Linked DNA regions of Arabidopsis thaliana. The protein of the gene in region 1 interacts with the protein of each later gene in a pairwise test. Each region holds a gene or a part of one and is shown in the gene's direction. Other genes may lie near its edges.

Region 1 (4,771 bases):
GTTTGATCAGTATTCATGAATAATGATTTTTTCCTCTAAATGTCTCCAAAACTGTATATATAGATATAATCTAAAACCCCTAAGGATGTTATTTAAGTGCATCAATACTTTCAAAAGAGTGTTCCTTTCAAATTTCTACTTAGTTTTAAAATGGGATATTTAAGTTATTTACCTTGGTAGCGATGTTGTTGGAGAGCCAATCAAGGCCTTCATAGAGACCTTCTCCAGATGTGGCACAAGTGCTTTGAATGTACCTGTTAAAAGAAAAAAACATAAGATACATGTTATCACAATGTGATCAATCTAACCACATTTTTTTTTATTTTTCAATCTAACCACATTAATTAATGAAAAACTTTGTAGAAAGAAAATAACTTTACCAATGGCGTTGGCGAAGAGAGTGAAGACCAAGCTTATCAGTTATTTCTGCAGCATTCATTGCGTTGGGAAGATCTTGTTTGTTTGCAAACACAAGAAGGACAGCATCCCTCAGTTCATCCTACAAACATGGTATAAATCAAATTATAGGAAGTTGTTTCAGTCTAACTGTGTAACAAGAGAAAACTAGAAAGAAGGCAAACCTCATTCAACATGCGATGTAACTCATCCCTCGCTTCCACAACTCGGTCCCTGTCGTTGCTATCAACCACGAATATAAGACCTTGAGTGTTTTGGAAATAGTGCCTCCACAAGGGACGAATCTGTTTATGTTTTTACGGAAGTGCATTTTAATGTCAAATATCAGACAAAAAAAGAAGACGACAAACACTCATAGATACTAGACGTGGAGATTAAAATTTCAAATTGAGCTTGCACGATATGAATAACCAGGTTTTATGAAAGATCATTACTAGTCACACCAAAACCAGAGCAGAGCATAAAGCATCACGAGGACAGTATACCATAAACATGGCAAGAGTTAAATATGTACCTTGTCCTGACCCCCCACATCCCAAACAGTGAAGCTGATGTTCTTGTATTCAACAGTCTCCACGTTGAATCCTGGAAACGAAACCCTCCTTAACATTAAATTTTAAGAAACAAAACTTCCATGCAGAAGAGGATTACATAAAATCCGTAGCGGAGGATTACACACAGGTAAGAAACACATAAAATATTAATCTAAGTGTACACATCGACAGACACTGTGATTTAAGGAATCCTTAAACCTTACCGATGGTCGGGATGGTAGTGACGATTTCGCCAAGCTTCAGCTTATACAAGATAGTGGTCTTACCAGCAGCATCAAGACCTACCATCAGAATCCTCATTTCTTTCTTGGCAAAAAGCCGGCTGAACAACTTTGTGAAATTAAGCCCCATTTTTTTCCTTTAGCTAGCACCTACATCCAAAGCAAACCACAATACTCTAAAGAAATTCTCTGTATAACTGAAGACCAACAAAAGAAACACGAAACACTAAATCTTTATTGATAAACACGATCACGTTAACATTCCAAAAAACCTTAACAACAAAGTTCGTATAGATTAAAAAAAATATAGATAATGAGATCCTTGAACAAAGCCAAGTGACGAATAACACCTTTAGACCATGAACAAAAAGAAGAAGAACGTATAAACCAGATAAATCAATCGATCAATCACTTGATACTCTTAAGAAAGATGGAGATCAAAGACCGAGAAAATCAATATACCAGAGATTTTGAGAAACGATGATACAGAACTTGAATCGATGAATGGTGTGAGAGTTTGTTTACCTTTCGAAGAAGCTCCAAAGAAGGACCTGTTGTAGAGCAAGCCGCGAGTTTCGAAAGAGAAAATGTCTCTCCTCACAAAAGCTCTAATAATAGAATATTGGTTTTAAAAATCGTCCTTATAAAATATAAATATTTCGGAATTGCACCTTAAACAAAAGCAGAATTACAAAATGGTCTACTCAATCTTTTACTTACTCTCCACACAAAATTCAGTTTTTCCGCTTCGTCTGAAATTACTCTTCCTCTCTAGCCATGGCCGTCTGTAACTGCTTCCTCCAAGCTCCACCACTCTCTCGCATACTCCTACCGGTTTTATCTCGCCGAGCTACTACTCTCTCTGCCGGTTATGGTCGGCTCAAATCCACGGTCACGTTCTGCTCTACTGTGAACCGGACCAGTCCTCTGACATCTTCGGTCCGCGCAGAAGTAAAGCGCGTCTCGCGTAAAGACGATAAAGTAGCTTCAGGTAACAGACTTGCTTATCTATTATTGATTACTCTATGAGCATGTACTGTTTATGTATGATTGTAATTTTGTGATAATGTTGAAGCTACTGATGTTCAATTTGAGACGCCTTTGAAGATTGTTGAGTATCCGGATCCTATACTACGGGCTAAGAACAAGAGGATTGATATTTTTGACGAGAATTTAAAGAACTTGGTTGATGCTATGTTTGATGTTATGTACAAGTAAGTCCTCCTTATAATGTAAGTAACTTAGTACTTAATAACAGAGTGATACTGTGATTACATATGGCTATTGGACAGAACGGATGGCATTGGGCTCTCAGCACCACAAGTAGGTCTCAATGTTCAACTCATGGTGTTTAATCCAGCTGGAGAGCCTGGAGAAGGAAAAGAAATTGTCCTTGTAAATCCGAAAATCAAGAAATATTCCGATAAATTAGTACCGTTTGATGAAGGATGCCTCTCCTTCCCGGGGATCTATGCTGAAGTTGTTGTATGTCCACCCTTTCTTGACTGAATTACTTAAACCTTATTATTGCTCATTGTTTCTTGGAAACCGGTTCTTATGTGGTTGGTTTTGCTTTCAGCGACCACAATCTGTCAAGATTGATGCAAGGGATATTACTGGTGAAAGATTTTCAATCAGTCTATCACGTTTACCTGCACGAATCTTTCAGCACGAATACGACCATCTGGAGGTTTGTTCTCCACTTTTATTTTGATAACTTTGCTTGATTAAATATAGCAATGACAACACAGAAAGTACATCTATGTACAGTTGAATGGCTGCAGTCACTTATATTTTGATGTTTCGACATTGAAAAGTGTCATCATTTACTCACGGGCCTTATCTTCTTTAGTACTTTTGTTCACTTTTACTTGTTTTCATGGAGGTATTTTGTGTTACTGTATGTGAGTATCACTTTCAAGCTTTCATTTCGGTCTGATGGAACATTCTTCAAATTACAGGGAGTTCTCTTCTTTGACAGAATGACGGATCAAGTTCTTGATAGCATTCGTGAAGAGCTAGAGGTGAGTAAAACTGTAGCAGGGCAGAGTCTAAAGCTACAATAACCACTAGTTAAATTTCGTGGATAAAATTACCATTTGTATGTTAGTAGTGACTCGTGACTTTGGTGAACATCTTTTCATTCAGTAGTCTATTGTCTTAAAATGTTTGTTATCATCGTAATTCTATAATATTCCTGACAAGTTTTGTACTGTAGGCCCTAGAAAAGAAGTACGAAGAAAAAACTGGATTGCCAAGCCCTGAAAGAGTAGAAGCACGACAAAAAAGGAAAGCAGGAGTTGGTTTTGGCAAACGTTGATGAGACATTCTCGCTCAAATTCCTTTCATCTACGTGTAGGATATGAGTACAACTGTTTTTTCTGAGTTGAGGTTTTATTCTTTGTTCTCTTGGGTTTTTTTCCTGAAAAATTCTACTTAATTTCCACTGCAGGAATTTACTATGGTATAGGAAGCAGACAATGACAAGAGACACGTTTGCTTTTTAAATTTAGAGGAGCACATCACATTATGTGATGCAAATCTCCCAAATAGGATGTACGGTTGAGACACAGATCATATATTTCAGAATCTTATTTTGGTCTGAGTAATATATTTCTTCAGTTTGTCTGTCTTGTGCTGTTAGCTTGAGCTTTGGAACTGCGTTAAGAATGTTCTTGCCGACTAAGTTGAACCATGTCGTGGTTTATCCGTTGTTACAAAGTAAAATGCGTTAGTTGTTTACATGTGTTGGTAATTAGACTTTTGATATATTGTTTAGCTCTCATTTTATATACTTTCTTTGCATCCCTCAGATGACATTACTTTTCTTCGAAGAAGTATATTACTTGTGATGTGTTCTATCATAACTGGTCCAAATAGTCATAATTGTTAGATTGTTGCTTCACAGATGAAATCCTTCCTTAGGCTATGGGTTGGGACTAACTCAATAACTTCCAATTGTCTATAACAGAATGCAATACATTGCATGCCATATATTACATTGTGTTTGCAAATGATTTATAAAAACTAGTATAAGACAAAGGAAGGGAATCAAACCCTTCTTTATTCGTATAATGTGTGGCCTATCTTAACATTTCTACATAATTTCTTACTCTAATATCAGCAAGCATCATTATTAGACCGACTTGCAGCTTCCGGTGACTTTTCTGTTTTCAAACATTGTATTGGTGGAAGAGTTTTTGTCTTCAGTTCACCGTGTGCTTTCCAGCAGAAAGGATCAAGTGAACTTGCTTTTCCTGTGGCTGGCTTAAGCTCGATGGTCGACAGTGAGATTCCTGTGCATGGCAAGCTATCACTGCAGGCAAAGCGTACAGGTTCTTTGGTGTAGGTACCTTTTATGTTTATGTAGTTTATGTTTGATACAGCGACTGCTGAAGTTTCATTGTGGCATCCGCCACCATCGCAGTAATATTGATCTATTATTATTGGATTGGCTACGTTGCTGACTTGAATATTTGAAAACATAACTTGTTTTACAGACCCTGATCCTCCCTATCATTAAACATAACAGAAAGTTGTCAGCATCTTTGAATTGTTGTCGCATGCTTTTTTTCAGCT
Region 2 (4,330 bases), on another chromosome or scaffold:
AGTGGATGAGAGAGAATAGGCGTCTTGGTTTGTAATCTTGTTGACGAGGAGAGGGAATGAGAGAGAAAGTGATCATGAATAGGGTTTGAATTTGATTCGAGGGAATAGTTGCTGTTTCAGGACTCAAATTGAGAGGTCCACATGATGAGGAATATGTGTAGTTTTATTTAATGTCTGAATTTGATGGATCCTTCTGAAACCTTTGATTTCGACAAAACACCCACAATGTGTTTGTCTCTCACTTCTTTACGTAACCTTTGTAGATTCTCTCACTCTCTCTCATGTCCATTTGCGCCACGTCACTCAGATGGTTGTACCATTTGCGATTATTTGATCTCAATGTGGATTGTTATACGTGACATGTCATCGTCCTATTGGTTTAGAATCAAAAACTTTAATCTCCCGCGTCCCCTTACCCAACCAAAAAACTATTGATGATCACTTTGCCTTTTTTTTGGCCGTCCATTATTGTAACGTATACTACACTTGTCATGGTGGTACGACTATACCCAAATTAATACTTTGAGGAGTCAATTACGTAGATGATTAAATTATGAATATTATCTGGAAGAGATCGACGACATTTGGTTGGTGTAATCAACTTTTTCGGGGGTTTGTGTCATTCATAAATAACAAAAATTTCAGAAGAAAAAGAACTAAGTTAATCATTAGACAGAAATTTCAATAGCGTAACTTCAAAAAACTAATTATAAAAAAACAAAATCAACTGTGTAACTTACGTCAGATGTAATGTTTATTAGATGTAATAGGTTCCACTAATCCATATCAATATTATCATTTATGAGATGGAGTGGGATTTTGTCTTTTATGCTACATTAACAAGTACATGATAATTTCTGGGTTTCTTTTACCGGTCTTAATATTAATAAACATGTTGGTATGCATGGTTAAGAGTTAGGACTTAATTAGGAGGAGGCTCATACATATATGACAGAACTGAAAAATTCAGTAGCAAACATTTATCTATAACATGTCGTGTAAATTACGTTGGTTCTTTTTACGACAGAGGTTTACTAATGTATATGGATTATCTCATACTCATAATATGTAGTTACAATATATATATATATATATATATATATATATATATATTATAACTTTTTTGAATCTAGATTATATTCAAAGAAAAAAGAAACATTTATACATGTGAATGCAAAATGCAAACTTTTTAAAAAACAAATTACAAAGATTTTCTATCCTTAATGTTGCTCGATGCAAACCACGTTTGGATCTCATCCGCATATTTCTTCACTTCTCCTTTTCTTAAAGTGCTCAAGTGATTTCAAATGTTCTTATCAATCAACTTACCAGTTATATATTTTATATGCATGGTATTCCCTATTTAAACAAGTTCAACATTCCTTTAACAAAAAGAAAAAGAAAAAGGAAAACAAGTTCATGCCTCTCTTGCCTCACCTTAAGAGTAGACGTACCGATGTTCAGGGGCGACCTAGGCCTCTAATACGTCTTCTTATGATATTTCAATTGTCAAATCGATGGTCACACAACGGTAGTCATCGTAGATATACATTTGATATGTTTGTTACAACAGTTATCTTTTCTTTATTAATGGTAAGCCTTAACATAAGTGTTAAGACTTATGATTATATGCCTTGTATATTTCGCACTATGGTTTTATATTGTTTCAAAAGGAATTCGGTGAGTTACAATTGTTGAAGTCATTATTTTATTTGCCATTTTTTAAAGTATCAATCCTTTAAAATTCCGAATTTATCGTTTACTCTCCTTTTATGTAATCATGTGCTCTTAGAGCCAATACAACTAACTTTCATTTTCTTATATAAGTTAAAACATTAACAAATAGGTATAGATTTAATTTCTAGAAGATTATGGAAATTAAAACACGACTAAGTGTTTTTTTGCAGAAAATGTATAGAGAGAGAGGGGCCATGGATCACGTGGAGGATGCGTGAGATGGAAATGAAAAAACGAAGGGAGAAGAGAGAAAGAGTGATTTTACAAATCTCCTCTAATCCTTTCTCAGCCAATTATGATCAATCTCCCACGTGGGGCTTCTGGCCCCATGCATGCATATCATCTTTCAACTATTCACTCTTTTGTCTCCTTCTTCATCTTTTTGCGTGATCTTCTTCTATATATGGCTGTCTTTATCTCCACAAGTGGCTTTTAGAAAGAAGACTCTCTTTTAAGTTTGGGTGTTAATTCTAGGGTTTCCATTAACAATGGCAGATTCTTCTTCTGCTTCTTACATTCACATGGTAATATTATATTGATTCAAGAACCTCATGTACTTCTCCGGCCGTCGATTCTATGAATGATCTTATCTATTTATCTTTTACGTATGTACCTCAATATCTTTGGATGTGTGTATGTATGTATAGGTGCAGCACATGATAGAGAAATGTTTGATCTTCCATATGAGCAAAGAAGAGTGTGTGGAAGCTCTCTCTAAGCATGCAAACATCACTCCTGTCATCACCTCTACTGGTTTTAATTCCTCTCTCTCTCTCTCCTCTTTTTTAATACTTTTTACCTTTCCGTAATCCTTATAAACACACAAACATATCTGTACCTATGTACTCTCTAACGGGATTAATTATATGTATAAATTATGGAGCTATCATCATATTATGATACCATCATTTAGAATTTGATCATGTAATATGTACTTAATTAGCTACAGATAGGATCTAGCGTGATGGATCGATCTTCAATATTTCTATTCATATAAGTGCTCATGCATAATCAAATTAATGATTATATACACTGACTTGACTACCTGGCGACTAGAACTTATACATATACAAAAAAAGCCAAAGAAAATATAAAAATCCTTGCAACATATATATCCGGCCTATATATTTTGTTATCATAATATTAATGAATTGGAACAAAATAAATGACAGTGTGGAAGGAGCTGGAGAAAGAGAACAAGGAATTCTTCAAGGCGTATGAGGAGAGGCAAAGCAAACAAGAGCAAATGTCGGAGGAAGAGACAAACCAGATGATCCAGAAGATTATCTCGGATTCATCTAAAGAATCCGACGACTGATCGCGATGTTCGATCGTTAGATTTCGAAAACCTTATAGTTTATATATATGAATCTCATGAAAACGATTTATCCCTGACGCATGCATGTTTATAAGTAAATCGTTTTTTCATCTTAGCATCGGTCCAACAAGCAAGACAGCAAAAAAAGGAGTGATGACACTCTTTTTGGTACGTTATACGTACGTGGTCCACATAATATTGCCTCTGTTTAATTATATATAATGAAACGGACGCTAGCTCATACATGGATCGATGGTGTGGTGTTTTAATTGAATGTATCGTGTGTATATATTTTCAAATAAACTATTTATTTCGGGTTTTGGTCACCTTAAAAGGCTTTAGCACTCTTGGAAATTTTGTATCATGGTTTCCATATGCTTGCAAGTTTCGGAACCCAAAAGTCCAGATTTTAGCCAGATCAGTAAAAACGTTGATCAGCTGTTTTTTGGTCCATGATCGGCTGTTTTTTTTTTGGGGAACGTCTATGCAGCCATTTTTGTTTTTAATAGAAATTTCTTCAAATTGAAAATTTACATTAATTAAACAAAAACAATAACATGGAGAAAAAGTTCTTGAACAATATCCAATTAATTTGCGATTAAGTGGTCAAAATGTGTCCGATCCTATGATCAGCCCATAACTTGAACGTTGTTAATTTGTTATACCTTGTGCAGAAATGTCTTTTTGGGTCAAAGTTCATAAGAAAACTCTCACTTAACATGCGTTGTTAAGTGAGTGACTACTCACAAGAGTAGTAACACGTTTCAATTTCCAGCCCACGTAAATCTAGACTACATGGCTCCTATGTAATAATTCTTTCTTTTTGTTGGTAAGTAAACAAAAAATTATAAAAAGGATTTATTCTTACGTTAACTTGATATAAAAATGGAATTTCGAGAGTATATAGTATATACAAACGAATAAATAGACCGGTTGAAATGCAAAAGGTATGTATTTGCCAAAAAACAGAGAGTTTTGAATATAAAGAATTAAAGACAAAGATTGTCATTTAACTTTCTTTTTTTCAGTACAGTAAACGTGCACAACACAATATAGACCACACATTAAACTTATAAAGAAGAACATACAAACGAAACAGAGGAATTTTCTTTCAACAAATGCCATAACTCTTCAAGCTTTGTAGTATGTAAGATAAACACTGAAATGGAGAATGGTATCATGACCATCAGTAACATGTTGGTCTTCCTGGTTGTGTAGAGTCTCCACGACAGCATACCCTTTAGCATGCTCGAATCTCCCAGTTCCACCCACAAC

What was found.
Region 2: the proteins of PDF1B (region 1) and AT3G55240 interact in a two-hybrid assay, tested with the Arabidopsis thaliana proteins (one large-scale study listed by BioGRID).

The regions. Positions count from the first base shown.
Region 1 is NC_003076.8:4,725,870-4,730,640, reverse strand, and holds PDF1B (peptide deformylase 1B), read left to right. Parts: upstream 1-1,894; 5' UTR 1,895-1,969; coding exon 1,970-2,183; intron 2,184-2,267; coding exon 2,268-2,406; intron 2,407-2,484; coding exon 2,485-2,677; intron 2,678-2,771; coding exon 2,772-2,882; intron 2,883-3,153; coding exon 3,154-3,216; intron 3,217-3,410; coding exon 3,411-3,512; 3' UTR 3,513-3,547; exon of another isoform or gene 3,548-3,602; intron 3,603-3,644; 3' UTR 3,645-4,000; downstream 4,001-4,771. Other genes in the region: ARFA1B (ADP-ribosylation factor A1B), read right to left, coding at 146-254, 381-499, 582-701, 932-1,002, 1,175-1,322; AT5G14650 (Pectin lyase-like superfamily protein), read right to left, coding at 4,313-4,705. UniProt on the Arabidopsis thaliana protein: Removes the formyl group from the N-terminal Met of newly synthesized proteins. Has a preferred substrate specificity towards the photosystem II (PS II) D1 polypeptide.
Region 2 is NC_003074.8:20,472,601-20,476,930, reverse strand, and holds AT3G55240 (Plant protein 1589 of unknown function), read left to right. Parts: upstream 1-1,598; 5' UTR 1,599-2,225; coding exon 2,226-2,261; intron 2,262-2,384; coding exon 2,385-2,490; intron 2,491-2,909; coding exon 2,910-3,055; 3' UTR 3,056-3,596; downstream 3,597-4,330. Other genes in the region: AT3G55230 (Disease resistance-responsive (dirigent-like protein) family protein), read right to left, coding at 4,187-4,330.